Linked DNA regions of Cricetulus griseus. The main gene of each other region encodes a partner of the protein of the gene in region 4 in a complex. Links are inferred from orthologs where the notes say so. Each region holds a gene or a part of one and is shown on either strand. Other genes may lie near its edges. The genes, in order: Timm10, Timm22, Agk and Timm10b.

Region 1 (7,363 bases), on a different chromosome or scaffold from region 4:
TGTATTTGTGATATAGGAATGAAGACTTCAAGTAAGTTTGGGACTGAAGCCTGTGACAGGGAGGGCCCAGCACCCTTGGCAAAGAGAATAGTAACTAGGAAGAAGGGGGTATGATTTATGTGTTTGGTAAAGAGAGAGGATATTAGCATGGCTGGGCAAAGCACTGGGGCAGGAGAACAGCTGGAAACAAAGGAAGAAGCTAGGGTTGGCAAATCATGTGGGATAGGTACTAATGCATGCTGGTTATCTACTTGATAGGACCCAGAACCTCCCAGGCAATAAACCTCTGGGCTTGTCCATGAGCTAATTCTATATTGGGTTAACTGAGGTGGGAAGCCCCGCCCTCAAAATTTGTAGCAGCTTCCCTTGGACAGGGATAGCTGACTGAATAAAAAGAATAACATGAGCCGAGTAACAGCATTCTTCTCTCTGCGTGTCTTGACTATAGTCAGAGATGTGACTGCCTCCAGTCACACTTGACTATAGTCAGAGATAGCTGCCTCCCATTCCTGCCACAATGCCTTCCCTGAGTTTATCTCCTGAACTGAAAGCCAAGGTAAACCCTTCGTCCTTTAGGCTGCTGTTCTCAGGTAACAGATCACACCAAGGAAAAAAGGTCATACAGAATCTTAGCTATTGAGAAGACTTCGGCTTTTGCTCTATGATTAGAAACCACTGTAGTATTTAGGAGGTGAGTGACATGATCTAATTTTAGTTTTTTATATCATGTTAGCTGCTGTTTTGAGAACAGTCAGACTGAAATATCAGCAGGAGTAGGGAGAAGAGCCAGGAGACTACTTACTACCTTGGTGATTCAGTACAGTTTGTGATGGTCTGGGCCAGAGAGTCATCAATAGAGGCAAGTAGAAGTGATGGGGAACAGCCACAATGGAGACAGTGGTGAAATCTGGGTAGGCTTTCTACTTAAGTTAATGGGATAGTCTCTCACCTCCTGCTCCTCTCAGGACAGTCCAGGGAGATATCTATCTTTGCTCTCTCGGAGTCTTTTATGAGTGGCAGGTCCCAATGAGGAGATCCTGCATTCCTTTCTTTGGGGCTGGAGTCCCATCCAAAGAGGTAGTACTGTCCCAGAGTGAGTGACAAATACAGAACCTTTCTGTGAGGATTGGAATAGATTGATTAATATATTCTAGAGGTCTTCTGTGCAATGCAGTGCATATAAATAGCAATACTATACTGGACAAATAAGTGTCTTATGTTAAATGTGTTATGATAAAGTGCACGGAGAACCTTGGCGGATTCCATGGCTGGTAAGGGTGACTGAGGTGGGGGACAAACATGCCAGGCAGATAAAGCTTAGTGAGAAGTTTTATTAGAAATGAAAGGGGGGACGAGAAAAGGGGGAAAGAGACACAGAGAGAGGACAGAAGAGAAGAGGTTGACAGGAAAAGTCCTGTCTGCCCAGAGAGAGAGAGAGAGGGAGAGGGAGAAAGGGAGAGAGGGAGAGAGCACACATACATGGGCAGGGGTCTTCTTTTAAAGGGGTCCTTTGCACCTGCATGCAGACTACGGAACCACGGAACCCTGGGCTGACCAGGGTACTGCCTGAGTGCATTCTGCCAGGTGACAGGGGCAGGCCAGCATAATGCCTGAATCCTTATAAAATGTTCTAATTACAATTAAAAATACTCTTTTGAGGGGTTGGAGAAATATTTGCAATAGGGCTGGGAAAATAGCTCAGGTGGGTAAAGACCTTGCTCTGCAATAGTAACACCCCAAGTTAAGATCCCAGGACCCATGTAACAGCAGAGATGCAGGATGGGTCCCCAAGCCCAGGACCCCTACAGTGAGATAGGAGGCAGAGATAGGCAAACCCCTGGAAGCTTTCAAGCCAGCTAGCCTGGCATAAGTAGCCCAAACACAAGAGCCCCTTTGTCAAACATGGTGCAAGTTAAAGATGGAAGCCTGAGGTTATCCTCTGACTTTCACATGTATGATGTGTGCACTGCCCCACATACAACATAGAAAGATAGCTAATTTTTAAAATCTGCCATAGATTACATTAAGAAATAATTGGGCTGTTAAGATGGCTTAAAGGTAAGGACGATTACCATGGCACTTGACAACTTGGGCTTGATGGCTCTGGACCTATGTGGTGGTGTTGTGCCCAAATTCTGAAGCCCCAAATCACCAAGAGACCCATTCCAATGCAAAAGCAAAGAGTCTTTTATTGTTTAACAAGTTAATTGTCTTAACTCTGGCCCTTTGTGGGTTCATCACATCAGGTGGAGTAAGAAGGACCCAGAGAAACCAAGTTGGGGGGAAGTGTGCAAGGGGAATGTCTAGAACTAAGCAATGGGCTTCCAGGCTTGGGTAACCTGTCCTGTGTTGGTCAACTGGTTGTTATGGCCTATAGGCCCTCCCAGGGTGGTTGCTATGCTCTGCATGGCACTGTTATACCTCTTTTACTATAAAGCACCACAAAGCCTAGAGCCCTCCAGCTAACTTCTGATTGGTTCCTTGCCACGTGGAGGGTATCTGACCTCCTAGTGACTAGGGCAGTTCCAGCATGGTCAGAAGGCCGGAATCTAAGCAACATGTGCTGAGTCAGAGGCTACATCTTGCAGGTTCTTTTCTGCAGCCTGTCATGCAGCTCAAAGCAGGGGGCTGGGTGAGGGTCAGATCCCTTCAGTGGAAGAACAGAATCAGCTCCCACAGGTTGTCCTTTGACTTCTACATGGGCCCATGGCACATACTTTTACGAATAAATCTAAAAAAGTATACCCAATGAGAGGTGTAAAAAAGACAGGGGGAAAAAATCACTATTAGCTGAAGATGTGAAAATAGAAATTGGGGGAAAAGACTTCATCGTTAAAGACAACAGATAAAGAAAATGTGGCTAAATTTTAATAAACGTTAAATCCTGGTGATAGCTATATTGATGTTCATTAGACTGTGTTTTCTTTTTTTTGGGGGGGGAGGTGTTGAGACATGGTTTCTCTGTGGCTTTGGAGGCTGTCCTGGAACTAGCTCTGTAGACCAGGCTGGCCTGGAACTCACAGAGATCCGCCTGCCTCTGCCTCCCGAGTGCTGGGGCTCCGAGTGATTTTAACATGCAACACTGACAGGCTCCTTTGGGAAAGATTCCCCCTTCTTCACACAAGAACTATCTGAGCTCGGACGTGGGCCCTCCTTAGTGCGTTCAGGAAGCCAAGCCCCTTCCACACCCCAAACACTCAAAACATCTCCCGGACAGCCCAAGGAACAGAAAGCTAACGGGGCTGCCGGCGCTCCGCCCCTCACTCAGGCCTCTGTGGCACTTTGGAGGACGCTCTAGCAAACTGAAGTCGTTTTCGCTTCGGCCAGGCGGTGGCCCCATCTCTATGGTAGCGGATTTCCCAGCGCCGCCGGGTAGGCGTTTTCTTCCGGATCAAAGAAGAGGTTGGACTTCCATCCCGGATGTGACCCACGTGCTTCTTATTTCTTCCAGCTGGGTACCCGGCAACTTTTTACTATTGACCCGAAGTTGCGGACCTCGAGGGATCTGTGACCTGCCCCAGGCCGTGGTGAGTGAGTCACGGTGTCTGACCCCGAGTGACCCCGATGATGGCATCGACATGACGGGCGCAGCCTTTGGGCCGGCTCCGGGAGCTTCGGTTGTGGTGAGGGTCGGGTTCTCAGGGCCGCGCGGGCCAGGCCCACGGTTTCGAGTGTTGTGTCCCTGGCGTCGATCCTCTGGCTGGGAGCGACGTGGAGGAACCGAGCGGTCCAGTCTCCGGGCCCGTGCCCGTGACATCCTGAGTGACCTTGAGCTGGGCACTGTCCCCTGTAAAGGCCTTATTTCCACTTCTGTTACGAGGGCTGATTACGTTTACTGAGGGCGGTGGTCCCTGCTGGTCAGAAACGCTGTCCTCCAGCCCCGGGACGTTAGGGTGAAGAGGGAGGGGTCGGTGCTGACGATCTTGTCTGCTCCTAGGAAAGACCAGGAGGCTGCTCTGCACGGTGCTAGGTTGACATGGATCCGCTTAGAGCCCAGCAGCTGGCTGCGGAGCTGGAGGTGGAGATGATGGCTGACATGTACAACAGGTAATGAGAACCACTCCACGATACCGAGTGTTGGAAGATTAGCCCGAGTCACCCTTACCATGACGGAGTCAAGGACTTGTAAGGAATGCTTTCCTTTAGGGAGTGGAGCCAAGTCCCAGCCCTCACCCTCTGCCCCACGCTCACCATGTGCTAGGCTAAACCAAATACAAGTCACTAGAAGGACTTGGCTATTTAGGGGGAGTAAGAGGGGCATGAAGGAGAATCTCCTGTTAGTATCTGGTGAGTTTCAAGAACAGGTAGTATTAATTTAAAAAACAAAAACAAAAACAAGCCGGGCATTGGTGGCGCACGCCATTAATCTCAGCACTCGGGAGGCAGAAGCAGGCGGATCTCTGAGTTCGAGACCGCCCTGGTCTACAAGAGCTAGTTCCAGGACATCCTCCAAAGCCACAGAGAAACCATGTCTTGAAAAAACCAAAAAAAAAAAAAAAAAAAAACCCAAAAAACAAAAAAAAACCCCCAAAACAGCCCATTTAATTACTTTTGTTTATGTATTTTGTGGTTGTTTATGAGTGCCACCCTGTCTGTCACAGCAGCACACTAGTGTAGGTCGGAGAACAACTTAATAGGAGCCCATCTTTCCTTCCAATGTATGGGTCTCAGGAACTGGACTCTTTTTTGTTTGTTTTTGTTTTTTTGAGACAGGGTTTCTCAGTATTTTTTTAGAGCCTGTCCTGGAACTCGATTGATAGACCAGGCTGGTCTCGAATTCGCAGACATCTGCCTGCCTCTGTCTCCCGAGTGCTGGGATTAAAGGCATGCGCCACCATTGCCGGCCGAAATGGACTCTAAAGATCTGGCTTGGCAACCTCTAATATTCTTTAAGCTTTTGTCTTTTGTTTGTTTGATTTATTTTATTTATTTTATTTTTTTGAGACAGGGTCTCATGATGTAATCCTGGCTAGCCTGGAACCTGCTATGTATACCAGGCTGGCCTTGAATTCACAAAGATCATCAGCCTCTCCCACTTGGGTCCTGAGGATTAAAGTTGTGCACATCTGGCCTTCATTAAACTTTGTGTTAGGCACTAGCAAAACATTTTACATATATTACCATTTTTAAATTGTTTTTTTCAAGTTTCTTTGTTTTTAGTTTATATGTGTGGATATTTTGCTTGCATGTATGTATGTATGTATGTATGTATGTATGTATACCACATGCCTGAAGAGGCCAAAGAGGGCATCAGATCCATTGGAACTGGAGTAACAGACAATTTTTGAGTTACCATGTGGGTTCTGGGAACCAAACCCAGGTCTTCTGCAAGACCAGTAAGTTCTCTTAACCAGGAAGCCATCTGTCTAGTACCCCCATTGTCACATTTTATTTTTATTTTTTTAATGTGTTTTTTTTAAAGATTTATTTATTTATTATGTATACAACATTCTGCTTCCATGTATATCTGCACACCAGAAGAGGGCACCAGATCTCATAAGGGATGATTGTGAGCCACCATGTAGTTGCTGGGAATTGAACTCAGGACCTCTGGAAGAGCAGTCGGTACTCTTAACCTCTGAGCCATCTCTCCAGCCCCACATATTATTTTTTAATATTAAAAATACTCACTGGGAGAAGAGGACCTAACTTTTGGCAGGGTGCTTTGCTAGAATGCAAGAAGCCCTTGCCTTGATACTGATGTGGTGCTTGTACTTTCAGCACTCAGAGATGAAGGACAGAGGATCAATAGTTCAAGGTCATCCTTGGCCACATAGTGAGTTTGAGGCCAGCCTGGGATAGATGGCATGAGTCTGAAAAAAAAAAAAGGAAATAAATTAAAATCAGTGGGTTAATTTTATTAGTGCCATTTTAACATCAGGGAATTGAGGTATCAAAGGATTTAGTAATGTCAGCATTCATAACTGGTCAGTAGCAATGTCAGAACCAATTCTTCAGACTGATCTCACAACTATTGATTGTAGCTGTTTGGCCAGTTTGGAAACAAATCCTGGTGCACCAGTCACCTGCTGAATATCTTTGGACAAACTGTCTCATAATTGATTGTATCATCAATAAAACTGACATAATAAACACTACTTCATGAAGACATTACTAATATTGAACATGGAAGCCTTTAGCATCAAGCATATCATTCAGGAAACAGTGAGACACCTGCTGGTTTTAGTCAGCAGAAGCTCTTTTTGTTGGTTGATTTATCTTGGAGGTCACCAATTACAATTATTATTATTATATTTGTTTTTTTTTTTCGAGACAGGGTTTCTCTGTGTAACAGCCCTGACTGTCCTAGAACTCGCTTTGTAGACCAGGCTGGCCTCAAACTCACAGAGATCAGCTTGCCTCTGCCTCTGCTGGGATTAAAGGCATGCGCCACCACTGCCTGACTTAAACAAGGTTCTTAATCTAAAGAACCTTCCAAGGTAGTTGAAGTGAAAACAGGATTTCCACTGTTTTCTTGGGAGAGGCGGTGAGGCCAGATCAGTAGAGCAGGGTTGGAGTTGTTGATGGGTCCTGGGATGTCACAGGAAGTTACTGATACAATCTTGTCCCTCTCTAATCCCAGAATGACCAGTGCCTGCCACCGGAAGTGTGTGCCTCCCCACTACAAGGAAGCAGAGCTGTCCAAAGGCGAATCTGTGTGCCTGGACCGATGTGTATCTAAGTACTTGGATATCCATGAGAGGATGGGCAAAAAGTTGACAGAGTTGTCTATGCAGGATGAAGAGCTGATGAAGAGGGTACAGCAGAGCTCTGGACCTGCATGAGGCCCCACGCAGAATTCACCTGGGGTGCACCTTGCCACATACCTTATTAAAGTGTTCCCTAGTGGGTATCATATGTGAAAACTGTCATACTTAGGCTCTCTGGAGCATCTCCAGGACCCCTGGGTGTGGTAGAGCTCTCCTGGCTAAAGAAGGGGACTTGTCACGCTGGTTTGTGACTGTGTATGTGTGTATATGTATATATCTGTATTAAAACAAATTTGTGCAAAGCAGTGTCTTTTGTATTTGATAGTAATGACTGAGCTAGAGTCTTGAACAGTAGACAGATTTTGATGTGGTGGGTCTTTGTGTTTGTTTTAGGACTGTAGACTAGTAAAATCAGTAGGTTTCTGTTCTGGGTGTCCCGCTTGCTGTGTGACCCTGAATGTGACGCATCTCTGTGCTTTAGTAGAGTGACTCCGGTAGGAAGCACTAATTTTTTTTTTTTAAATTTGATATTAAGTGGAGACAAGCAGTTATTTCTATGCATATTCTGTATTGAAATGATTTAGGGGAAGTGATAGTGGATAGAGTTTAGGAAGGAAGTAGCCAGGCTCTGCTCTAGATAGCATTGTCAATGC
Region 2 (7,495 bases), on a different chromosome or scaffold from region 4:
GTTTACAAGGACCTGGGTCTGGTTCCCAGAACTGTAAAACAAACAAAACTCTGACAACCGTATAAAATAAGGGAAAAAATGTTCAGAAACTTGAAATGCCAGGAAATGAATCTCAGCACAGCCTGCAGGTGTGGACTGCTCAGGACTTGAGTGACTTTTAAGGCTTCTGCACTATCCTACTTGCCAACTATGTATAAGAACATCATCTCACACATTCAATAGAGAAGCTCTTTTTTTCTAGGCAAAATCTACCTCTACGGTTAATTATGGGTAATTTCCCCATCCTCACAAGGCTCTTGACAACAGCAGGAGATGCTTTCAGTAGTCCCATCCTAAAAAGCTGTGAGCATCTGGCCAAAGAGTCTACAATTGCAGACATCAGCCAAGATTTATCTGGGGGGCTGGAGAGATGGCTCAGCAGTTAAAAAAGAGCACTTGTTCCTCTTGTAGATGACCAGGTCTGGTTTCCACCAGCCACATGACTCACAAATATCTGTAGTTCTAGTCCAGGGGACCTGATGCCCTCCTCTGGCATCAGGCACACCTGTGGTACACAGACATACACATGCAGGCAAAACACCCATACAAATAAAAATAAGTAGCTTTTAAAAAGACAGAATAAGATTTTAACTGGTCCAAAATCTCTATAGAGTGCCAAGGATGAAAAAGCCTAACACAGACGGATATAAGCAAGTTTCCAGAACCGCATCAACACAGAAGCAGCCAGGATTTATTTGTCAGAGGGAAGAATATCAAGCATCCTTAGAACACTCATGTTGGGAAATGTCAACATCAGCACGTTGTCCTGGACCACAAAAGAAAAGCACTCGAGAGCTGTTTACTAACCTCTGAAACCAATGGCTCCTCCAGTGATGCAGCCGCTGATGACACTGTTCTTCCAGTCTGACTTTCCCCGGTACTGTGGGTGGAAAAATGCTGTTTAGAGCCAGGGAAACGAGCCAACAAGACTAGGGAAGAAAACACAGGGCTTCCAGCTGCCTAGTTTAGTTCTATTCAAGAGGAGAAAAAAACCTTACTTCAAAAGGGCAGTCCCGAAAATTTGTATGTGCTTATACGTGTTTCCTGCAGGTGGCACCAGAGGGCTGAAGTCAAGTCTAGCATTTGGGAAATAATCCAAATTTCTTATGTGCTCCAGTATAATTTTAAATCATTAACTACAATTACTTGGGTTGGAGATGTGGCCCAGTGGTAGAGCACATCCTCTATGCATAAAGCCTCAAGTTCAATCCCAGCACCAAATAAGAAAAAAAATCATTTTGCCTATAGAAGATTAAAAAAAAAAGCAAATCCCGTATTATAAATATGTACAAAGTTCACACTAGGGACTAATCTAGACCAAAATGTGATATTTTTAAATGTCTGCTTTGAGGCAAAGTTCTATGTAGCCCAGGTTGGCCCAGATCTCATGCTCCTCTTCTTCAGCTCCTTTGGGCTGAAGTTGTGAACACAGATCACATTTGACTAAGGCCTGACATTTCTAGTCTGCATTCCAGGAAGAACACTAAGAACACTGCTCTTTTCAAAGTTGTATAATGGAGGCTGATGGCTCAGTGGTTAAGAGCACTGGCTGCTCTTCCAGAAAGACTCTGGCTCAGTTCTCAGGACCCAAATGGCAGCTAACAACTGCCTGTAAATCCAGTCCCAAGGGATTAAATACCTTCTTCTGGTCTCCTCAAGCACCAGGCACTCACATGGTGCACATACATACATGCAGGCAAAATGCTCAGACACACAAATTTTGTGTGTGTGTGTGTGTGTGTGTGTGTGTGTGTTGTTTTGTTTTTTCTTTTTTCAAGACAGGGTTTCTCTGTGTAACAGCCCTAGCTGTCCTGGAACTAGCTCTGTAAACCAGGCTAGCCTTGAACTCAGACATCTGACATCCACCTGCCCCTGCCTCCCAAGTGCTGGGATTAAAGGTGTGTGCCACCATGGCTAGGCTCAGACAGGGATTTCTTAAAAGCAAGAGACACTTACAGATTCTACTAAACACTCAGTACACGAAAACATTGCGCCCACAATGGCAAAATTTTTGGCGTAGGACATTCCTCTTTGTCCCATGTCTTTCAGAACTTCTTTTGCAGTTGGTGTCCGGTAAGGGTCCTTAGGGTCAAAGCCTACATTGGTATCAATGCCGGCAGTAAAGATCCCAAACGCACCTCCCAAGACAAATCCTAGAAGCAAGCAGAGATAAGAGTTCTTTTGCACATTCTGGACTACCATTTTGGGATGATATTTTAAGATGGCTCAATCCTGCTTCCTCCAGTCAGAGTCTATCCCCCTGACTCTCCTAGGATTTCTTCCTTTCATTTCCCAGCCTTTGAGCTTTAACCCTCTGTTCTCTATAGACCAGTCACCCTCAAGTTCTTATCAACTTTGTGTATCATTCCCTTAACCATGCCAATATCTATAACAGTCTCTTGGTAGGCATTACCACATATTCTGAAATACTCTAGATTTCACAATAACTTGTGGCTGTTTTGTTTGTTTGACAGGACCTCACTATGGAGTCCTAACTGGCCTGGAACTTGCTATTGTAGAACAGGCTAGCTCAAACTCAAGAGATCCACCTGCCTCTACCTCCCAAGTTCTTGGATTAACAGCGTGTGTCACTACCACCCAGCTGTCCTCTCTAAACCAAAGCTAGAGAGGCTAAGTAACTGTGTCCAAAGTCGCATGGCTGTTATGTGGGAAATCCTAGGTTGCTGTCAACAAATGTCTTGTCTAAACCTTGAACATTTCTTTGTGTGGGTGTGGGTGTAGGCCAGAGTTCAATCCTGGGGTGTCACTACTCAGGAACCATCCACCTTTCTTTCTTTCTTTCTTTCTTTCTTTCTTTCTTTCTTTCTTTCTTTCTTTCTTTCGTTGTTTTCAAGACAGGGTTTCTCAGTGTAATAGCCCTAGCAGTCCCAGAACTTACTCTGTAGACCAGGCTGGCCTCAAACTCAGAGAGATCTACCTGCCTGTCTTTGGAGTGCTGGGGTTAAAATCAGGTGCCACTACCCCTGGCCACTTTTTTCTTTTTTAAAGAGGGTCTCTCAATGGACCTAGAGCTAACTGATTAGGCTAGGCTGGCTAGTAACTGAGCCCCAAGGATCTGTCTGCCTGTCTTCCCAGTAATGGGATTACAAGTCATTTTCAGGCCTGACATTTATCTATTTATCTATCTATCTGTCTGTCTGTCTGTCTATCTTTCTGAGACACAGCCTATATAGTCTGTCTGTGTAGGTGTCCTGGAGCTTGCTATGTAGACCAGGCTGGCCTCAAACTCAGATCCATCTGCCTCTCTAGTGCTGGGATTAGAGGCCTGGGCCACCTCACCCAGCCATACCTGGCTTTTTACAGGATGCTGGGTATTGAACTCAGATCCTCAAGCTTGCATGACAAGCACTTTATCAACTGCACTTTGTCCCCAGCCATTTCTGTATGGATGTCTTCTCATCACCTCAAGATGAATGTAATTTCAAAAAATAAAAAAAAATCAATGTAATTAATTTCAATGAAACTAGACTCTATCTCCCCTCTCCAAAATGTCTTGCTTTCCAATCACTCCAGCTCCAAAACTCTCTCTTCTTTGTAGTACATTTAAGGTTTGCTTTTTGTTTGGTCAGTTTTTTGTTTTGTTTTTGAAGACAGTGTCTCTATTATGTAACCCTGGCTGTCCTGGAATTCACTATATAGACCAGGTTGGCCTGGAACTCAGATCTGACTGCCTCTTCATCCTCAATTTTTAAGACTTGAACTCCTGCTATTTGGATTTCACAAATGTTTTTCATTCCCAATAAAATTTAAACTCATCCACAAATACAGTCAACCTTTTTACCTGCACACTGGAAGTGTGTGTATTTGTTTGTTTTTATGTTCTATCCTACCCCACCCCGACAGTCTAATTACAGTGGCCTTTTTTTTTTTTTTTTTTTTTTTTCCCCTTAGATAGGGTCTCTCTATGTAGAACTGGCTGTACTGGAACTCACTCTGTAGACCAGACTGGCCTCGAACTCACAGGGATCCATCTGCCTCTGCCTCCCGAGTGCTGGAATTAACTTCAAATTTCTCTGACTTGAGGACCTTTGCATTTGCAATTCCCTATGTGTCTACAGCACTCTTCTGCCCGGGTCCTAGAAATTCTCTATCAGGGCTCTTGTCACTTTCATCCATAGTCCCACTGCCTAACACACGACAGTTGCTTAGTTTGTGAATGAATGAATGAATGAATGAATGAATGAATGAATGAATGAATGAACGAAAGCATCCACTTAACAATCTGCAGGCCCTGACCGTAGTTTAACTGATTCTCGAACGTTCCAGCTCCCAACTGTGAATGTTAACCCCAGGATCAAGAGCGGCATCTTCGGGTTCATTGAGCCAGTCGGGGAGCAATCAAGGTCGAGACCCACAGGTCCTTCGCCTCCCAGGCGCGTGGTCTTGGCAAGGAACCCCAAGGCCCTCCAAGCCCTCAGCCTCCCAAGGGTCCCACGAGCCTCGCCTCACCTCCCACGCAGGCTAGCACAGCCTTGAAGGCGCAACTTTCCATCGCCCTCTCGATCATCTTCTGCTCCTCGCTCTTGGAGGGACTCGGGATCCCGCCCAGGCTGCCAGGCTCCAGGAGCCGGGGCTGACGCTTGTCGCCCACCAGGTACTGCAGAAGAAGGCTGTATTGCAGCGGAGCTTCGGCGGAAGTCGCCGACTCCGCAGCTGAAGCCCCGGCACTGGGGGCAGTAGCCGCCATGACCGTAAGGGACCCAGAACCTTAAGCGTCGTACTTGCCACAGCCGATTCCACATGCTTCCCTAGGTGTCTAGCCATAGTGCCGCAGCGGCAGATTCGCCACAATGAGGAAGCGGCGGAAGCAAAAGTCGGCCTGTGCATCAGCGTCAAGGCAGCTATAATGTTCCCCCCAAAGCCTCCTGTAAACACCGAGTCAAGTTTGTAAGGCATTGCTAAAAGCACTGACAAACAAGATTCGGGGTCTCCAGAACACCCCCCTCAACGAGGTAGCTCCAGTGCGGCGCGTGCCGGGATTTGTAGTTCTAACTCAAACATCTAACTACATTTCCCAGAAAGCTATGCGCGAACTAACCCTACGGCTTCCTCAGAAGCTCTTCTGAGAAGCGAACCAAGGCAGGCCCGGCTCTGGCTAGGCTGCAGTTTGTGACGTATCCAGCAGAAGGCGTGCGTGTCCGCTTTGTTGCCCCGCCAAGTGACAGTGATCATGCTGCCTCAGTCAGCTAGGACTACAGGCTGGTTGGTATTCTAAGATCAAATAATGGTAATAAGCAAATGTTGAAACATGGCGTGAAGATGTTCAATAGACATTTTATTATATAGTTAAACCTTTGAGGAGAAAGAAGGGCCAATAAATGAGCTGGGTGGTGGTGGCTCATGTAATTTCAGCAGAGGCAGGTAGATCTCTGAGTTCGAGGCCAGCCTGGTCTGCAGCGTGAGTTCCAGGACACCCAGAGCTACACAGAGAAACTCCGTCTTGAAAAAACAAAATATATAAATATATAAATAAATATTGGGAATTGTGGTAGTTGTGATTCTGAGTCAGACCAGGCTGGCAATTTATTTGTCTCTCTTAGCTAAGCGAAACACTCATGAAAAGAAAAATCATTACAGATGCACGTTTGGTGTCTAAAATCCTCTTTGTTCTTGTTTCTGCCCTCACCAGGCCACCAAGCACGCTAAGTTTCCAGTGGTTGGTTGGTTGGTTTGGTTTGGTTTGGTTTTTCAAGTCAGGGTTTCTCTGAGAAACAGTCCTGGCTGTCCCGAAACTCCTTTTGTAGACCAAACTGGCCTTGAACTCACAGATTCCCCACCACCACATGGCTCTCCAGTGGTTTCTTAGCTGTCAATCATTTTTTCTAAACTTCTCAGCTGCATGTGACACAGGGACCCCTCTCTCCTTTGATTTTTTTTTTTAAATTATTTATTTATTATGTATACAGTCTTCTGCCTGCATGCCAGCAGAGGGCACCAGATCTCATTCAAGGTGGTTGTGAGCCACCATGTGGTTGCCGGGAATTCAACTCAGGACCTCTGGTGGAATAGTCTGTGCTCTTAACCGCTGAGCCATCTCTCCAGCCCTCCTTTGATGTTTTATCAGTACTTTTTTTTTTTTTTTTTTGAAAGATTACAGTGTGTGTGTGTGTGTGCTGTGTGTGTGTGTGTGTGTGTGTGTGTGTGTGTGTGTGTGTGTGTGTTTGTGTGTGTGTATAGGTGCCCATGGAGGCTAGAAAAGAGCATCAGATCACCTGGAGCTGGAATTTGGGTGGGTTTGAGCCAGTGGTTGTAAGGCATCGGATTCGTGCTGGGAAGTGAATTTGGTGGAGGAACGGCAAGTCCTCTTACCTGCTGTGCAGTCTCTCCAGCCTGATTTCTTCCCTCCGATTGTGCTTTCTCTCCCACTTTTGCCGCAGCCTCCCCAGTTACACTTCTTTGTAATCAACTTTGAGGCTCTGCTATTGTTCTTCCTGGTTCCATCCATCCTCTGTTGATTAATATTTAGTCACTTCTAAACAAAGGTGACCCAGGACTCCAGTTCAGGCTAAGATTTTAAGAGTCAGAGTTGGAGCTGGGTGGCAAGGGCGCACACCTTTAATCCCAGCACTCGGGAGGCAGAGGCAAGTGAATCTCTGTGAGTTCAAGGCCAGCCTGATCTACAGAGCAAGTTCCAGGACAACCAGGACTGTTACACAGAGAAACCATGTCTTGAAAAACAGACAAAAAGAAAGGAAGAGAGAGAGAGAGAGAGAGAGAGAGAGAGAGAGAGAGAGAGAGAGAGAGAGAGAGAGGAAGGAAGGAAGGAAGGAAGGAAGGAAGAAAGGAAGAAAGGAAGAAAGGAAGAAAGAGAAAGAAAAGAGTCAAAGTTGGATCCAGGAGAAGTTGAGGCAGTCTCCCAGGCCTTGAGAAGCAGAGAATGTTCTAAAGAGCTAATCAGGAGTAGAGTTCTTACCTATCATGCCTGGGCCATGGGTTCAGTCTCCAGAACTAAAACATAAATAAAATAAAATGCCAATCCAGCAATCCATTTAAAGCCCAACAGTAAAATCCCGAAGGAAGGGTCAGGGAGAACCCAAGCCACCAGGAGCCATCAGATGGAGAAACTCCCTATGGACCAAGCTCAGAAGGGAGTAAGTCTTTTGTAGAACTACCCTTAGCCAAGATCATAGATGGGGAGCCGTTAGACTGATCTGCTATCTCCTTCTCCCATCACTATCCAACGGTGGAATAGGTTTCATCTGATGGAAAACTTGAGCCTCTGCCAAGTATACCCCAAATGGGAGAAATTATTTCCTATATTTACTTACCTATGGGACATCTGGGGACTTCATCCGACTGTAACCTGGTTGTGATCCCAGCAACTGTCAGGTTCTTCCCCCTCTCCTCACATTGTCTGTTCTGGCCACAAGAGCTAGGCTCTTATCACCATGGGTCAGAGTGAACCAGTGAAAGTTAGAGATGACTTAGATTTACA
Region 3 (7,482 bases), on a different chromosome or scaffold from region 4:
TCGATTGCTTCTTAGAATGATGTTACAGAATTATTATTTTGACTGAAATTTCAGTTTTCCTAAACAGCAGCAATGCCAAACCAAACCATTAAGAAACTGAAGGATGTGATACTTCTAAAAGGGCAAAACAACCACCAACTTAAAAACAAAAATAGATGCATTACAGGTAGAATTTTCCCCTTCTTATTTCAGAATACATGGAAATTGGATTATCTGGGAGCCTGGGCTTTACCGAACAATACCATAGGCTCTGCTTCATCCTGGATCTGGTCTTTGTCCTTTTAAACTGTCATACAGAACAGGCAGCTGCAATTGCCAGCTGGGGTCCAAGTGACGTGGGGAAGAGATGGACAGGATGACAAGGAGACGAATTAAAACAAGGAACCATCAGAAGAAAAGAAAGAGCTTTGGTAGACACAGGTGACAAGGAGCTTCACAGAGGGTTCTCCAAAACTCCCATGCAATGATATGGAAAATATTCTGTCTCCTAGGAAGCCATTGGTTTCTTGAAAGGCCTCATTTACATATTTCCAATCTGGTAGCTGTAGATTCAGTGGATATTAAAGGTCATAATAAGGAAAGGATTTTAAGCATAAATACCACAAGAACATGCTTCATTTTTTTTTTTTGCAGGAAACACAGAGTCTAAAGAAGTATCTGTGTACATTAAGTGAGTAAATAACCCGAAGTGAATGTTAAAAGAATTTGCTCACATTTTCCATGATAAGAAGCACTGACACTGGGGAGCATCTGCTCCCACTACAGCATTCATCCAAAGAGATACAGGAAAGTCTACCAACAGGCACACACGCATCCCAACACCTTTTTCCTGGAACTCTTCCCCATCACTGATAAAGCATCTATGGAAATGAGCACAGCCCAGGTCCGGGAACAATCAAAATGACTGGAGAGTGAGTCAAGAACAGTAGAAGGTTAAGCAGAACTCTGGTGTCTGACAGCTATTTCTGCCACTGATTTTTCACTTATTTCTTACCTTAAAGCCTCTACTTGTCCTCACTCTGGCCACCAACAGCCTGTGGTTTATAAGCTGTCGATTGGTGCTCATGGATCCTGCCTTCAATCTAAATAGAATTCATTATTTTGCATACTAGGGTGTATAGAATTTTGGCACAATCCCCTCACAGACTGGCCACTTGGTTCCATGACATCATTGAGGATCCTGGTTCTTTCTTCTCTGATCCTCTGTGAAGTGGCTCTGGCTCAGGCCGGCTCCCTTCGTGGATGAGTGATGATGGCATCAGTTTCTGACATTGTATAGATATTTATGATTTGTGGAGCAAAATGTGGGACCGTCTTTTTTAAGATTCTTTTTTATTTTGTGTGTATGATTGTTCGCCTGCTTGCACATATGTGCACTGTGTGTGTGACTAGTGCCCATAGAGGCCAAAAGAGAATGTCAGATCCTTGGAGCAGCAGTTACAGGTGGCTGTGAACCACTGTATCAGTGCTGGGGAAACAAGTCTGGGTGTGCTTAACCACTGAGACATCTCTCCAGCCCCAGAACCATCTGTTTTCCTTTCTCTGCTCTTCTTTCCTTTTCTTTTTTTGCATTTCACCCGTTTAAAGTTTGTGATTCGCTAGTGTTAATATAGCCACAGAGCTGTGTAGCCAGCACCACGTCCATATTGAGACCATTTTCCTCTATATCCATATTGAAAACAGTCACTTCTCAATGCCCCACCCCACCATCAAATCCTTTTCCATCCCTACGTGTTTTCTAGTTCTGGATGTGTCGTGTGTGCACAGTCATATAACATGCAGTCTTGGACTGGCTTATTTCACCTAGCATGATGTTCTTAAAACCCATCACCACTTCCAGCAGCTTCCAAGGAATAATTTTCCTGCTCTTTGAGAACTTCTTTTAGTGATTTGATACTGATCAAAGAACACAGGGAAGGAAGAGCACGCACCAAGCCCACATTAAGGTCCCAAGTAACACAGAGAGACTTATATTAGGTACAAATGCTCCTTGGCCAATGACTAGGATTCTCATCTGCTAGCTCAGTCTTAATTATCATAAATATATATTTTATAAGACTTATTTTATGTAAGACGCCTTCCACTGGTGTCCTCATCCCAGGACCACATGGTGGCTCAGAGCAGAGAGAAGGAGGAAGAGAGAAGGGAACGACTTCCTTCTTGCCCTTACTTATATATGAGTCTCTCTGCTATGTCACTTCCTGCCTGGATCACCACTTCCCAGAATCCTCCTTGACTCCTAATCCCGCCTAACTTGTTGCCTCATTGGCCAAACAGTACTTTATTTATCATCCAATAAGACAAACGCATACACAGAAGCACTTCCCCCATCAGACATCCTAAATTATGACTTTATTTTATTCTGTGATTATAAATGTTCAACTAACCTCTTCCATGGTGGAACATGCCATTCAGGGCAACTTGAATCTGTCTCCCAAAACTATGGCCATTCATATTTGGCTCAGAATAAATTCACTTCCTGTTGACTTTCCCTAGGGAGACAGCAGCAAATGATTCTCTCCAGATGGGGTGACAAGGACAGACTCAAAAGAAATGATTCCACTGAAGTCTAGATTTGTGAACGATGAAATTGATTGCAGTTACTTAGAGCAGCATGGGTGAGGGGTGGCCTGCAGGAACACGGGCAACACACAGGAGGCAACACCACTGAAGTTGCTGTCCCCTCAACACTCCTCAGACCCTCTGGCCCGAGCAACCTTAACGTGCTTGTATAGGCTGTGGAAGAGGCAGGCCACTGGGGATCACATGCCAATGGGTCGGATCTGGTGATGATCTTGGGTGAGTAAATCACAACTGTTCTCATTGCCAGACAGCCATGGCCATGCAGATACAAATTCTTTACAAATGCCTTGGTCTAAGGCAAACAGAGGGAACGCAGGAAAGCTGCCCTGCATCTATGTGCCCCTTCTCTTCAGCTCAGTAGTCTTTATATTTTGAGGAGACACATTTTTTTTTGTGTTCCACACCTCTCCTGCTTCGTTGCTCTCCCTGGCTCTCTCTCTCTGTGTCTCTGTCTCTCTCTGTCTCTGTGTCTCTGTCTCTCTTTCTCTCAGATCTCACACTGGCCTAGTGCTCCTTCTTTGCTCTCCCTGTTTCTCTCTCTCTGTCTCTCTGTGTGTCTCTCTCCTCTCTCTCCCTCTCCCTCCCTCCCCCTCCCTCCCTCCCTCCCTCCTCCTCCCTCCCTCCCTCTCTCTCTCTCTCTCTCTCTCTCTCTCTCTCTCTCTCTCTCTCTCTCTCTCTCTCGGGTCTAGTGCTCCTCTGATTCTGAGCTTGATTCCTCTCTGCCCTGCTCTCTCTTTTGTACATCCTGACCAGATAGATCCTCTTCTTCCTGATCTTGGGGAGCTCAGACTTTCGTTTTTTCATTTAACACAGTCCCCTCCCTGGCCACACTTCCTATCACACTCCCTATCAACTGGTTTTATTACCACCGTCTGAACCTGTCTGGTTCCCGTGATTACTTTCTGACTTAGTCCCAAATGCTAAAAAATTGTGTGTGTTATTTATGGTGAGCTTTGCGGAAACGATGGGCTGGCAACAGGCAGAAGGAAGGAAGGAAGGATGGATAGATGGATGGATGGATGGAATGACCCCCTAAGTGAGAGACAGGGGAGGTAAGAGAAGGGAGAGCGGCGGCTGCTCCCAGGTCCCTGCAGGGCTCCGCCCGGCCCCGCCCGCCCCGCGTCGGAACCCGAGGGCGGCAGTAGCGGTTTCCCTCCAGCGGGGAAGGGTTTCGAGAGAGCACACAGGAAGGCCGGGCGCGGGGCGGCGGGCAGCGGTGAGTTCGGGGAGCGAGCGCGGGCCGCTGGGCGTGTGGGGCCCGGGCGTGGGGCGTAGCCGAGCAGGGTGTCCCGGGAACCGGCCTGGCGCCCGGGGGTCGGCCGTACCGTTGCTGGCTGCGGCGTGGGCGGGAGGGGGGCCCGGGCGGGGTCCCTGCGAGCCAGGTGTGCTAGTTCGAGTCCCAGAGCTGAGCCTCATCCCTGCCCCCCCATCCCAGTCAGGCGCCCCCCACCCACCTGGACGGTGGGGTACCCCGGAACAGCAATACAATCCATGGTACTTGATGGGCGGGTCGGCTCGCTCATTCATTCATTCATTCACTCACTCACTCACTCACTGGGCTCTGCTAATGGAGATGGCTAGAAGCTGCCCCAGGGAGCTCTGCTTTAGTGGGCAGAGCCTCACCTTCCTTGGCAGGAGGGAGGCTGCAGTTAGAATCTGGGAGCTTATGGGGCTGGGGACCACCTGCTTTACAGGCAGAGCTGTGCTATTTAAACGTAAAATGGAGACATTTTTTAAACTGACGCTCATGAGAATGAAAATTCTGGCCACTGGGTAGGAAATAGATAACTGTTCGTGTAGTACGTATTCGTGAAGATAGCTTAAATACGGAAAAAATTACGGATTTTATTCACAACCCCGTCATAGCTGATCTTCACAGCCAGATTAAGTATTTGGGGCAGATGGTGTTTCCTCGTTTTACTAGTGAAGTTAATCGACTTACCCAGGGTCTCACTTACCTGTAAGGGACAGAAGCTAGGATTTAGTTCAGGCACCTTGCACACCAGGGTGTTTGTGCATTTCCCTCGTCTTTTAATTATATATGAATCATTTATGACAAAAAAAAAGGGAGTTTCATGGGGTAAGGGAGGCTTTTTAAAAGACAGTCCACTCAGAGTGCCCTTGACTTAACAAGTGTTCTTCCCGGTCTCCTCTACTTGGGTAGTTTTAGCAGCTCTCACACTTTACCTTCACAGGTATGAGCCGCAATTCTGTAACTTGTCTTCAATTTCTCCTATTTCCAAACAGCCAAGTCCAGACACCTGTTTGGCCTCCACTTGAGTGTGCCTGGCGGGTGTAACAGGCTAGAGTCTCTTTAGCTGCACTCTGTTTTCCCACAAACCTGCAATATCAATCAAAGGCGTGAAATCACGTTGCCCAAGCACAAAACCTGGCTTGTCTCCTCATCTCTTACCCCTTGGAATCAGCTGGTCACCAAGCACTGCCAGACCAAGACCTCCAAATCCTTTGTTGACTCTTGTTCCTCCTTTTAGTAGCCTAGAAATTGTGGCACCCACCCCCCTTCCCTGCCACCATGGTTCTCTTCAGAGTTACTTTCAGGTTCTAGCAGTGTGTTTTATATTCTGCAGCTCAAATATGATTATGTCATTTGTCTGCTAAAAAAAAAATCTCAAGTTCTCTCTCTCTTTTCATTGTCTTCATAATATCCAAAGCCCTTGGTTTGGACTCCAAGTATTCTTCCTTCCTTCCTTCCTTCCTTCCTTCCTTCCTTCCTTCCTTTCTTTCTTTCTTTCTTTCTTTCTTTCTTTCTTTCTTTCTTTCTGTTTTTTCAAGACGGGGTTCTCTGTATAGCTTTGGAGGCTATCCTGGCATTTGCTCTGTAGATCAAGCTGGCCTCGAACTCACAGAGATCCGCCTGTCTCTGCCTCCCAAGTGCTGGGATTAAAGGCGTGTACCACCAACACCCAGCAACTCAAAGTATTTTCAAATCTTCCTGTTACCCCCATCTTTTATCTTTAAATTACTATTTCTCAAAGTCTGCTATGTTTATCACGTACAATTATGGAAGTAACTGTTAACTAAAAACACAGGGGGCTTTGGAGAGGTAATAGCCAAGCATATATATTTCCAGCAAATTTTGTGCATTCGAATAAGGTCTAATAAGGACCCTAAAGGTTGAGAGCCAGTGTTCTAGAAGCTATCCTGTATTTATGCTCTCTTGATGGTGCTTAGGGCATGTTAATCCCCATAGAAGTACATTGGCAGTTGAGGAAACAGTAGAAGCAGGAAACTGTTGATGTTCTAACCTGAATCGGGCTTCCGGTATAAGGCCCTCATGTTAGAAGTGCCTGTCTTATGCATGCAGGAAATGAGCACTTTTATTTCTTAAGGTGAGGGGATACTGAAGGACCTGAACAAATAAGACCTTGGTGATTATTGTCTTTAAGTCACAGCACCTTGTTCAGTCATGTTTCTGTACAACTTTCCACTCTTCATCAAATTTAACATACACTGGATTTTATTTCTGAAGGTGTTTTTTTTTTTTTTTTTTTCCTCGTTGTTTTGAGACAGGGTTTCTCTGTGTAGCTTTGGAGCCTATCCTGGCACTTGCTCTTGTAGACCAGGCTGGCCTCGAACTCACAGAGATCTGCCTGCCTCTGCCTCAAGAGTGCTGGGATTAAAGGCATGGGCCACCAACACCAGATTTGGTGTCTTCTTCTTAGAGAGTTGCTAATCCTGTTCATGGGGACAACACCCTTATAGCCCCATTATTTCTACATCCTAATAGCAGTCCAGTTGGAATTAGAACTGCCACTTACAAGTTTGGAAACACAAATGCTCAGGCCATGGCATATTCCTAACTCCTTCCCTTTGTGACTCCTCTGAATCTGTAGGGTTCTCTGGGTCCCTCAGGTCCAGCCCAGTTAGGCCCATGTCTTTACCCCTGAACATTTATCTGACTGTCCTGCGACCTGGCTCATGTGGTCATATTGCACTTGGGGATTTACTGATTCTGAGCATCTGAGAGTGAGGCTTCCCTCTTCCCTGCCCTAGCTCTTAACACAGGGCAGGTGCTGTCTATCAAAGACCTTGTGAATGAGTGTCTAGGGCCAGATGGAGAGAAGTCAATAATTCCATGGGCCTTTGGGTCTTCTGTACTAGTCTGAATGGCTTCTTCATTGATGTCTGCAATGTGGATGTTTCTTCCTAGGGGAGGGATTTTAACCAAGGGAAGTTAAAGGAAGAAATAATTTTTTCATCTGTTTAGATAATAATGTAAGTAAAAACTTAACATTGCATATATGTGCATATATGTTGTAATTTTAAGATGTCATTTACCAGCCTACAATTTAGAGGGAATTATGTAAAACTTTCGCTTTTGTGTATCGGTATTTTGATTGATAGTCCTATTTGAACATAATTGGTATAACACTGATTATAGATGTCTTTTATCCTGCTAATTTTACTTACATTGTATTTTGAGATTTTTTTCTTTTCTTTTTTTTGTGGGGGGAGCAGTTTTGAGACAGGGTTTCTCAGTGGCTTTGGAGGCTGTCCTGGAACTAGCTCTTGTAGACCAAGCTGGGGTTAAAGGCCATTGCCTTTAATCCCAGTACTCCGGAGGCAGAGGCAGAGGCAGGTGGATCTCTTGTGAGCCTGGTCTACAGACCGAGAGCCAGGATAGGCTCCAAAGCTACACAGAGAAACCGTGTTTCAATAAACCAAAAAAAAAAAAGAAAAAAATAAAAAAATAAAAAATATTCCTTACAGGAATAGGCAAGAATATCTTTCTTTTTGTATTTTGTTATCAGTGACTATGATAATATAAAATTTAATTTTATATAAAAATAATAATAGCTCTTTGTAATTTGCATGTCTTTGATTAGTGAGCATTTTTACTTAGCCATGTGCATTGGGTTTTTTTAATGCATGTTCTTT
Region 4 (7,444 bases):
GCCACATCTCCCCGCAGCTTCTCATATTTGTCTCGATGGGTCTGGAAAGTGGCCTGGGCACTCTCAAGTCGACCACGTGTCCCTGCATCCCGGGGACCTAGGCTCAGCTCCTCTAAGTCTGTCCGGTAGGCATCATACTCCAGCCTGGGAAGGGGGTGATAAAGGCTGGTCTCCACCTCTTCATCCATACATGTAACTCTTTCCTTCCTGAACTTGTATGCCCCTAAATGTTCGAATTTTCACCCATGCCAGCCAACTTCCCAAACCTTGAGCCCTTTCAGTGCCCACACCTGGCAGCCTCATACTGTTTGACAGTCATGAGTGTGTCTTCCATGGTCTTGGTGACCAGTGTGTTGATGCTAGAGACAAAGAAGTTCACAGCCCCTAGTAGCGTCTCCCCATTCTTGCACAGCAGCTTCTGCGTCTCTGCATTATAGCCAAATTCCTCCTATGGGCAGAAGGGAGGCACAGGCCTTGAGTAAGAGTCCTTACCTGACTGGAGCTGCAGAGCCCTTTATTTCCTTCTGTCCCAAAGAAGAAACAGCCATCAAAACTAAAACAACCAGACTGCCTCTAGCAAGGCTCTCTTAGCCACAAAGTTAGTAGGGTCGCCTAGGGGATGCCTGGGGTAGGAATGTGGGAGTAGAGTCTTAGGTAAGTTTAGAAGACAGGAACAGGGAAAGCTAGTGCAGCAGGCAGGGGAGGGACTCTGATTAGGCCAAGCACCAAAGGCATTCTTGATGATATGGAGAAGGGTTACTTGTGAGGCACCAGAGCGCCCTCTCCCACAACCCCTCCAACTTTTGGACCTCTGTACAAACCCTTAGGCTGCCTCCATAGGTGAGTGATGCTGGGGGCAGGACTGGGCACACCCCAGAGGGGTTCTCCCTGGGGGCTGCAGGAGGGAGGGAGGGAGGCTGAGGAATGCCTGCCTGGAAGGGCCAGGGCCCAGTACCCCCACCCTCTTTGTTTTGGCTGAGGCACCTGAAGCTCTGGGGACTTCTGGCTGAGGTCAGCAAAGGCATCCCCTAGTGCATGCTGGGTCTGCAACAGGCTGTAGAGGTGGGCTGTCAGTGCCCGGCCCAGCTGAAGGACACTTTCATACTTGCGCTTCGTCTCACGCAGCAACTCAATCTGCAGCTCTAGCTCCAGATCCACAGTCCGGGAGCCTCGGCCAAATCTCTCTGATAACAGCTGCTTTGTGCACTGATTGGGAAGTGGGTGGGAGGTCAGAAATCTAAACTCCACCCCAACCCCGACAAGTAACTACTCCAACACCCCCATTCTCTTAGTCATAGCAAAAGACTATGTATTAAGATCTGGGGAAAAGGAAAAGGTACCCATGGAGAGTTTCTGGGAAGAGGCACTCGACTCTTACCTTATATGTGTTGATGCCCCATTTCTTGACGATGTCAAACTTCTCTCCGGCGATGCCCCGGGCCACCTCATCACCAGGGCCAGAAGGTGAGGTGCTGTGAGATGGATGGCGGCCAGACCCTAAAGGATCAAGTTCTCTAACACCAATTTCTCTCACATACAATCAGATACTTCTGTGACCTCACTTCCTTCCCTCCCAGCACATGAAATGACCTCTCTAAAAGAGGAAATCTAGATAACTGAATTCTTCTGCTCATTAGGGGGAACGGGGACTTAGGTCCCGAAAACCAAAGCAACTCAATGTATGTATTTGGCATTCCTGGGGTCGTGTAGGAGTGTTGTTGGGTGGACAGGGAAGGAAGAAACAGAAGCAAACATGATGAGTGGGACTGGAAGGGTCAAAGCTGGTGGGCACAGAAAACAGGGAAGCTGGTTTGTATTTCCAAGTAGAATTTTAGTCAGTATAAGACTCTTATAAAACTCTGAGAAGCTTCACAAAGTTGTAAATCAGCCTTAAGCTGCAGAGCTCTTGTGACTTATAGGTCTTAACTTGGCTCAGGTGGTGGCACCAGGGAAAGAAAAGACAATTGAGAAAGCTAGAATCTAAATGGCAAGTGGGAAGCAGATGATGAGCTCAGAGAGCTGATCTGGGATTGGACAGTCTATGGATTTCACACTAGCAGTTCTCAAGTTTCTCCAATCCATGATTCACGCTTTCCTATGTGTTCTATGTGCCTCCTAGTCTCCCTCCCACTCAAGCCTCCTGTCTCTTATCATTCATACCTGTGGGGATGAGTCCATCACCAGAGCCCCCATAGCCACCAGACACAATGCTAGTTTCATTGAGGTTGGGTCCTGACACCATCACCTGCTGGAGGTCCTATAGATCAGAGAAGAGGGGGCACTTCAGGAACATGGGGGTGGCTGAAATATTTTGGGGATAGAGACAGTATATAGTAAAGTCTGTATAGAATCATAATGACGACTTGAAAACTATAAGGAGGACTAACTAAATGAAGTCTATTGGGATGGGAAAAGCGAAACATTCAAGAGTCAGGATTGCTAAATTGAAACAATTAGAAGAATCAAACAGAAGCACCTGCTCCAGCCCATCGTCTTCAGGAAGCTGCCCAGCTTCACCATTTCCATGGATTGGGATCTCCATTGTGGCTGCCTTCCCTAGGATCCCGTCCGTCATGGCTAGGGAAGGTACTGGAGTCAAGGTCTCCACCCCAGCACGCTGTAAAGCCCAACACAGACAATTCTGGAAACTGGCCAGCACTCCAGAACAAGGAGGCCTTCCCTGTGTTCTAATAGGTTTCAGGGGTTGTCTGTTAGGACTTGGGTGTCCCTGGAGATCAGCCCCTACTTTCCTGGAGATGTGTATTTCTTCTCTTCCAAGTACATTATTTCTACAGATGCATGTATACCAAAGCCTTGGGTGTCTTCTCACAAACCCCAACCTCACCTTTAGTAACCTTTACACATTCAGTCACTCAACAAACACTTAGTGAGTGCCTACTATGCGTCAGATACTGAGGCAATGGGATTACAGCAGTGAGGGCCAGAGGGGAATGTCTGTGCTCTTTGGGAACTTGGCCCTGCATAGGCATGTTTACCAGAAGGCAAAACCCTTTCCTAGACTCGGATGCTCACTTGCCACTCAAGCATGCTCTGCAATCCCTGGTCTTTCAAATCCTTTGATGTTCCTTCCCCTCTTCCTTCAAATGGTCTCTCCTTTCTCCATCTCATGCACCTGCCTCCCTCAGGCCCTCCCCACCAGGCCTTAGTTGAAGCAGCTGGTGTGTTCCCGGTGTCAGTTAAAAGCTTCTTTCCCAGGACACAGGCAGTCCCTTCCAAAGTCAGTTTATGCCTTCCAGATGTGAGAGGTCCCCTCCACCACCCCCCCACACACCTGGGCATCAGGTGTGTCCTCATCCTTGCCAAGGGCTCAGGGCATCTTGCCCTCCGCACAGGTTCGTGCATTCAACTTCCTTTCGTACAAGTATGTCCTTCTCACCTGGGCCGGGCCACTCTTCCCCTCAGGGCGCGAGGGCCGGACCGCGCGGGGACCTCGGGTTCCAGTTCCCGTCGCGATCTTAGCAGCAGGTCAGAGATTCGGCGGAAGTGACGTGCCCTCTGGGCAGAAGAAGCCGGCCACGTCGCAGAGCAAAAGGGCGGAGGTGACGTTAGCAGACATGGGCTGGGCGATACTGGAACCACGCCTTGAAGCTCTTGGTGACTAGGGAGAATTTACTTCCGGGGTGACTCCGCGCCCCCAGGGAGGAAGTAAAGTGGGCTGCGTGCCCCGAGCGTGATGGAGCAGCAGCAGCAGCAACTAAGAAACGTGAGTAAGAGCTAAGTTGTTCTCGGGGTTAGACGTGCGGTTTGTTTTCTGGGGTACATGCAAGAACCCCCAGTGGGGAAGGCAGGCTGCACTGCGCACGCCAGGAACCCTCAGCGGTGGTGAAGCCTTGATCCGCTTTTCTCTTAGTTGCGAGATTTCCTGTTGGTCTACAATCGGATGACAGAACTGTGCTTCCAGCGCTGTGTGCCCAGCCTGCACCACCGAGCTCTGGACGCTGAGGAGGTGGGGACTGTGGGGACCCCAGAGGTTGACAACGTGACGTGTCCACCTCCCACCCCCCGTTTGCATCTCGGTCTCCCATGACCTCACCCCTAGGCTGGGGCCCCGGAGAGGAGGGCTTGACAGGACCCCTTTTGGTCTCTGCTTACCTCTGTCTTCCTTCCAGGAGGCCTGTCTACACAGCTGTGCTGGGAAGCTCATCCATTCTAACCACCGCCTCATGGCCGCTTACGTCCACCTCATGCCCGCCCTTGTCCAGCGCCGCATCGCGGACTACGAGGCTGCCTCGGCCGTGCCAGGTGTTACTGCAGAACAACCCAGAGACTCGCCATCAGGCAGCTAGCCATCGCCTGCCCCAGGAGAGAAGGTGCTTGGATGGGCTCCTCTATGAACCTTGGGCTTGTCGAAATTTGTACAGAAAGATTGAGCCTGAAAGCTGGGCACTATTGCTCCTTTTCTTGGAGCCAATAAACCGGGTTTTTACTCTGGTTGATTTTCTGGGCAGGAATTTATTTATGTCCACTTATTGGTACCAACCTTTATTCTGCCATTTAGTGCCTATCTTCTCCCCTCAGCCCTGGCAGTTGAGAAATTGCCTTCTGTAATGTAGTAGGACAAACTCAGCATTCTCAGATCCCCAGCAAAAACATAGTTTTAAGGTTAGTAATAGCAATGGGAAATTGGTTCCAAAAGGGGAGCTCTCAGTGGCTATCCTTGAGCCTAACTCAAATGCCTGAATATATATTGCATAATAACTAGTTTTCTTCTGAGCTGTAATACAAAAAGAATTGTGCTGCATCTAGGGGAAGAATGTGATATCAGACAACAAGAGGAAGAAGAAAACAGCACCACAATAGGCTTTAGCCACCAATTCTTAGGAGATCAAAGATAAGCCTGTAAGAATGTGGGAATATTGTCTAGAATTTCAATCATTTCCCCAGTTTACCATCTTAAATATTTCCTGTCTTTGTGAAATCAGCAATAAGGACTTTAAACAAAGAAGGGTTTTCTTCTTGTCTTCAAGGCAAGTCAGAAGGCCTACATTAGTCAAATCTAAAGAAGAGAAATCAAAGGGAAAGGTAGATGGTGATAGAGGGGTGGTTAAATATAATCTGTGTGGCTCCTAATGCTTCCTTAGTGTTTCACTGTTTGTCTGGAATCTCCTAATTCCAGCTCTCTACCTTCCATCTTACATTGTTCTCAACCGTAACTGATCCAGCCTCTCTATTCTTGTTTTGTTACTGCCCCCTCATTTTGTGGGGTTCACATCTGTATTCAGGAGGATACCTCCTTTCCTGGCCCTGCCTTTTCCGTGATGTCATCTCCAGTATGAGGACAAGGAAGGAAGGAGGAAATGGCATATACTACCATGTGGGGCTTCAAGGATAATGGCAGGATGCAGGGCAAGCAACAGTATGGGATGTGCATTTGTTATTGTTGTTTTACTGGGGGTTCAACTCAAGGGCTTGTGCATGCCAGGCAGGGACTCTTAACAACCTAAGCTACCCATTACCTCTTCATTGCTTAATCCCATCCCATCCTTTCACGTATGGCAACAGCTTTCCTTTTTTACCAAGGAATTAAATTTTAAAATCCCAGCCAAAATCAACTATTTACAAAGCAGATCCCCCCCCCACACACACACCTACAGGTCATAAATATGCATTTTACTTTTTTATTTTTGAGATTGGGGAGGGAGGTCTCAAAACTGACATGTAAATCATAATAACTAAAGATGACCCTGAACTCCTGATCCTCCTGCCTCTACTGCCCAAGAGCTGGCCAGCCAAAAAATTGAAATAGTGGGCTTCGTGTTAAAACACAGCTCTTGCTCTAAGCCTTGTTATGCATGCCTACAAGCCCAGCACTTCACAGATTGCGAATTTTGTGTTTGAAGGCAGCATATCAAGACCCTATTAATAAAGTGCAGTGGGGCGGTAAGCCCCATATTCTTTTTACTACAGCAGGCTGCCTCTCAAAATCATGTCTGTTGAGTATGTTGCATAAATTTATCTTATTTATTCATTTTATTGCAAGCCTAGGAGATATTATTTCCATTTAACAGGTAAAAAAGAACCCAGAATGCATGAGAGCTCTGTCTTATACACAGTTCTTTGAAAACAGATTCTAGTGTGTCACTGCTTTTCCCTTTTTGTTTTTTTATTTTAGGTGATTTTGCCATGGGGTCTATTGGCCTTAAACTTGAGATCCTCTTGTCTCAGCCTCCCAGGTACTGAGATTACAGACATGGGCTACAACGGTTGCTAGATAATTCTTTAGGAAGATAAAAATTGCTGACAAGGAGCTTCCCTATAGAGTGACCTCAGGTCTTCCTGACAGAATTCACTCTTTGACAAGTATAAATGTAAGGAATGCATCATGTGAGCTTCTTCATTTCCAGAGACAGGAAGGTGGAGACCCAGGATATTGTGTTGCTGCTGGGAGAGTTCTTCTGCATCAGTTTATGTATCCTTTCAATAAAACACGTACTGTGAATTGTCTGTGTTTCCTTTCTTCCCATGTCACATGGTTAGTAATTGCTGGGAAAAGACTAAGAAACAGATCTATTCAAAGCCCACTCTCTTTGGAACTACCTGAACTTTTTTTTTTTTTTTTTTAGATGGTTTTACTGTGCAGTCTCACCTTGAATTCAAATCCTTCTGGCTTTTTACTTCCTGAGTGTGGGGAGCACACATGTGATCACATGTGTGCTCCCCACACTCAACCTACATACACTATCATCTTTGCACAGTCTGCCTTCAGATCAAAAACAAATGTGCCTCAATCTGACCTGTCAGTCCTTTTCTCCCTTTAGTCTCTGCTCTGGTTTCTCTCCTTAAGAGAAAACCCATTCCTACTGTCTCACTTTCTATAGTTGCTGGTCTTTTTCGGGTCTTGTCATAAAGTGATAGTCATTGGCATGGTGAGAGCAGTATTCTTAGGCACAATATACAAGAAAAGTTTGGGATTTTTTTTGGTTTTGGTTTGTTTTGGGGGGGGTAGAGGGGTGGGGGGATTGTGAGAGGTCAAATTCAGGGTTTTCTACACACTAACAAAGGGCTCTACCATTGACCTACATCCCCGGCCCAGAGGTTACCTTTGACATAGCCTTACCACATCACAAACATTGGAGGCTGAGGTGGTGGTCCTGTCATTGTGACTTTAGAACTTCACTGCCTGTTCCTTGGCCCAGTCTATTGATTTAAAGCTGTTCATCCATAAAGTCCTCTACCTGTTTTACTGTTCGCATCAACTCTTCTTTGCCTCCCCTCTAAATAGCTCTTGTACTTCCTATCCACCAGTTAATGCTTTGATGTTTACACGGTCCATTCAGTAGTTAGGATCACTTAATTTCTTGATCCAATATCTAATGGTTTCTATTCTGTCTTAGCTATCCATTTAGTTGTGTCTTAGATATTGTCATCATTCTAAACCACTCAATCTTCAAAATACTATTACTAAATCAAGTGACAAAACACT

What was found.
Region 1: the proteins of Timm10b (region 4) and Timm10 are in contact, whole or in part, in a cryo-EM structure (PDB 7CGP), measured with the Homo sapiens proteins. The link is inferred for Cricetulus griseus from reciprocal best matches to the Homo sapiens genes TIMM10B and TIMM10. Residues at the interface, in NP_036324.1 of Homo sapiens: Gln7, Leu11, Leu14, Arg15, Phe17, Leu18, Leu19, Tyr21, Asn22, Arg23, Met24, Thr25, Glu26, Cys28, Phe29, Val33, Pro34, Ser35, Leu36, His37, His38, Arg39, Leu41, Glu46, Leu49, His50, Ala53, Gly54, Ile57, His61; in NP_036588.1 of Homo sapiens: Ala6, Leu9, Leu13, Glu16, Met17, Asp20, Met21, Arg24, Ala28, Lys32, Cys50, Asp52, Arg53, Cys54, Ser56, Lys57, Tyr58, Asp60, Ile61, His62, Glu63, Arg64, Met65, Gly66, Lys68, Leu69, Leu72, Asp76.
Region 2: Timm10b (region 4) and Timm22 share a complex: the UniProt entries of both Homo sapiens proteins name them as parts of the TIM22 complex. The link is inferred for Cricetulus griseus from reciprocal best matches to the Homo sapiens genes TIMM10B and TIMM22.
Region 3: Timm10b (region 4) and Agk share a complex: the UniProt entries of both Homo sapiens proteins name them as parts of the TIM22 complex. The link is inferred for Cricetulus griseus from reciprocal best matches to the Homo sapiens genes TIMM10B and AGK.

The regions. Positions count from the first base shown.
Region 1 is NC_048599.1:90,701,605-90,708,967, reverse strand, and holds Timm10 (mitochondrial import inner membrane translocase subunit Tim10), read left to right. Parts: upstream 1-3,376; 5' UTR 3,377-3,527; exon of another isoform or gene 3,528-3,623; intron 3,624-3,675; exon of another isoform or gene 3,676-3,789; intron 3,790-3,937; 5' UTR 3,938-3,976; coding exon 3,977-4,047; intron 4,048-6,583; coding exon 6,584-6,785; 3' UTR 6,786-7,015; downstream 7,016-7,363.
Region 2 is NC_048600.1:89,853,895-89,861,389, reverse strand, and holds the start of Timm22 (mitochondrial import inner membrane translocase subunit Tim22), read right to left. Parts: upstream 4,787-7,495; 5' UTR 4,748-4,786; coding exon 4,510-4,747; intron 2,193-4,509; coding exon 1,996-2,192; intron 920-1,995; coding exon 847-919; intron 1-846. UniProt on the Homo sapiens protein: Essential core component of the TIM22 complex, a complex that mediates the import and insertion of multi-pass transmembrane proteins into the mitochondrial inner membrane. In the TIM22 complex, it constitutes the voltage-activated and signal-gated channel.
Region 3 is NW_023276806.1:187,841,246-187,848,727, reverse strand, and holds the start of Agk (acylglycerol kinase, mitochondrial), read left to right. Parts: upstream 1-3,677; 5' UTR 3,678-3,799; intron 3,800-6,754; exon of another isoform or gene 6,755-6,819; intron 6,820-7,482. UniProt on the Homo sapiens protein: Lipid kinase that can phosphorylate both monoacylglycerol and diacylglycerol to form lysophosphatidic acid (LPA) and phosphatidic acid (PA), respectively. Does not phosphorylate sphingosine. Phosphorylates ceramide.
Region 4 is NC_048596.1:94,060,703-94,068,146, reverse strand, and holds Timm10b (mitochondrial import inner membrane translocase subunit Tim10 B), read left to right. Parts: upstream 1-3,588; 5' UTR 3,589-3,694; coding exon 3,695-3,724; intron 3,725-3,871; coding exon 3,872-3,967; intron 3,968-4,130; coding exon 4,131-4,307; 3' UTR 4,308-4,331; intron 4,332-6,133; exon of another isoform or gene 6,134-6,365; 3' UTR 6,366-6,460; downstream 6,461-7,444. Other genes in the region: Arfip2 (arfaptin-2), read right to left, coding at 1-144, 291-448, 985-1,206, 1,379-1,497, 2,161-2,257, 2,477-2,575. UniProt on the Homo sapiens protein: Component of the TIM22 complex, a complex that mediates the import and insertion of multi-pass transmembrane proteins into the mitochondrial inner membrane.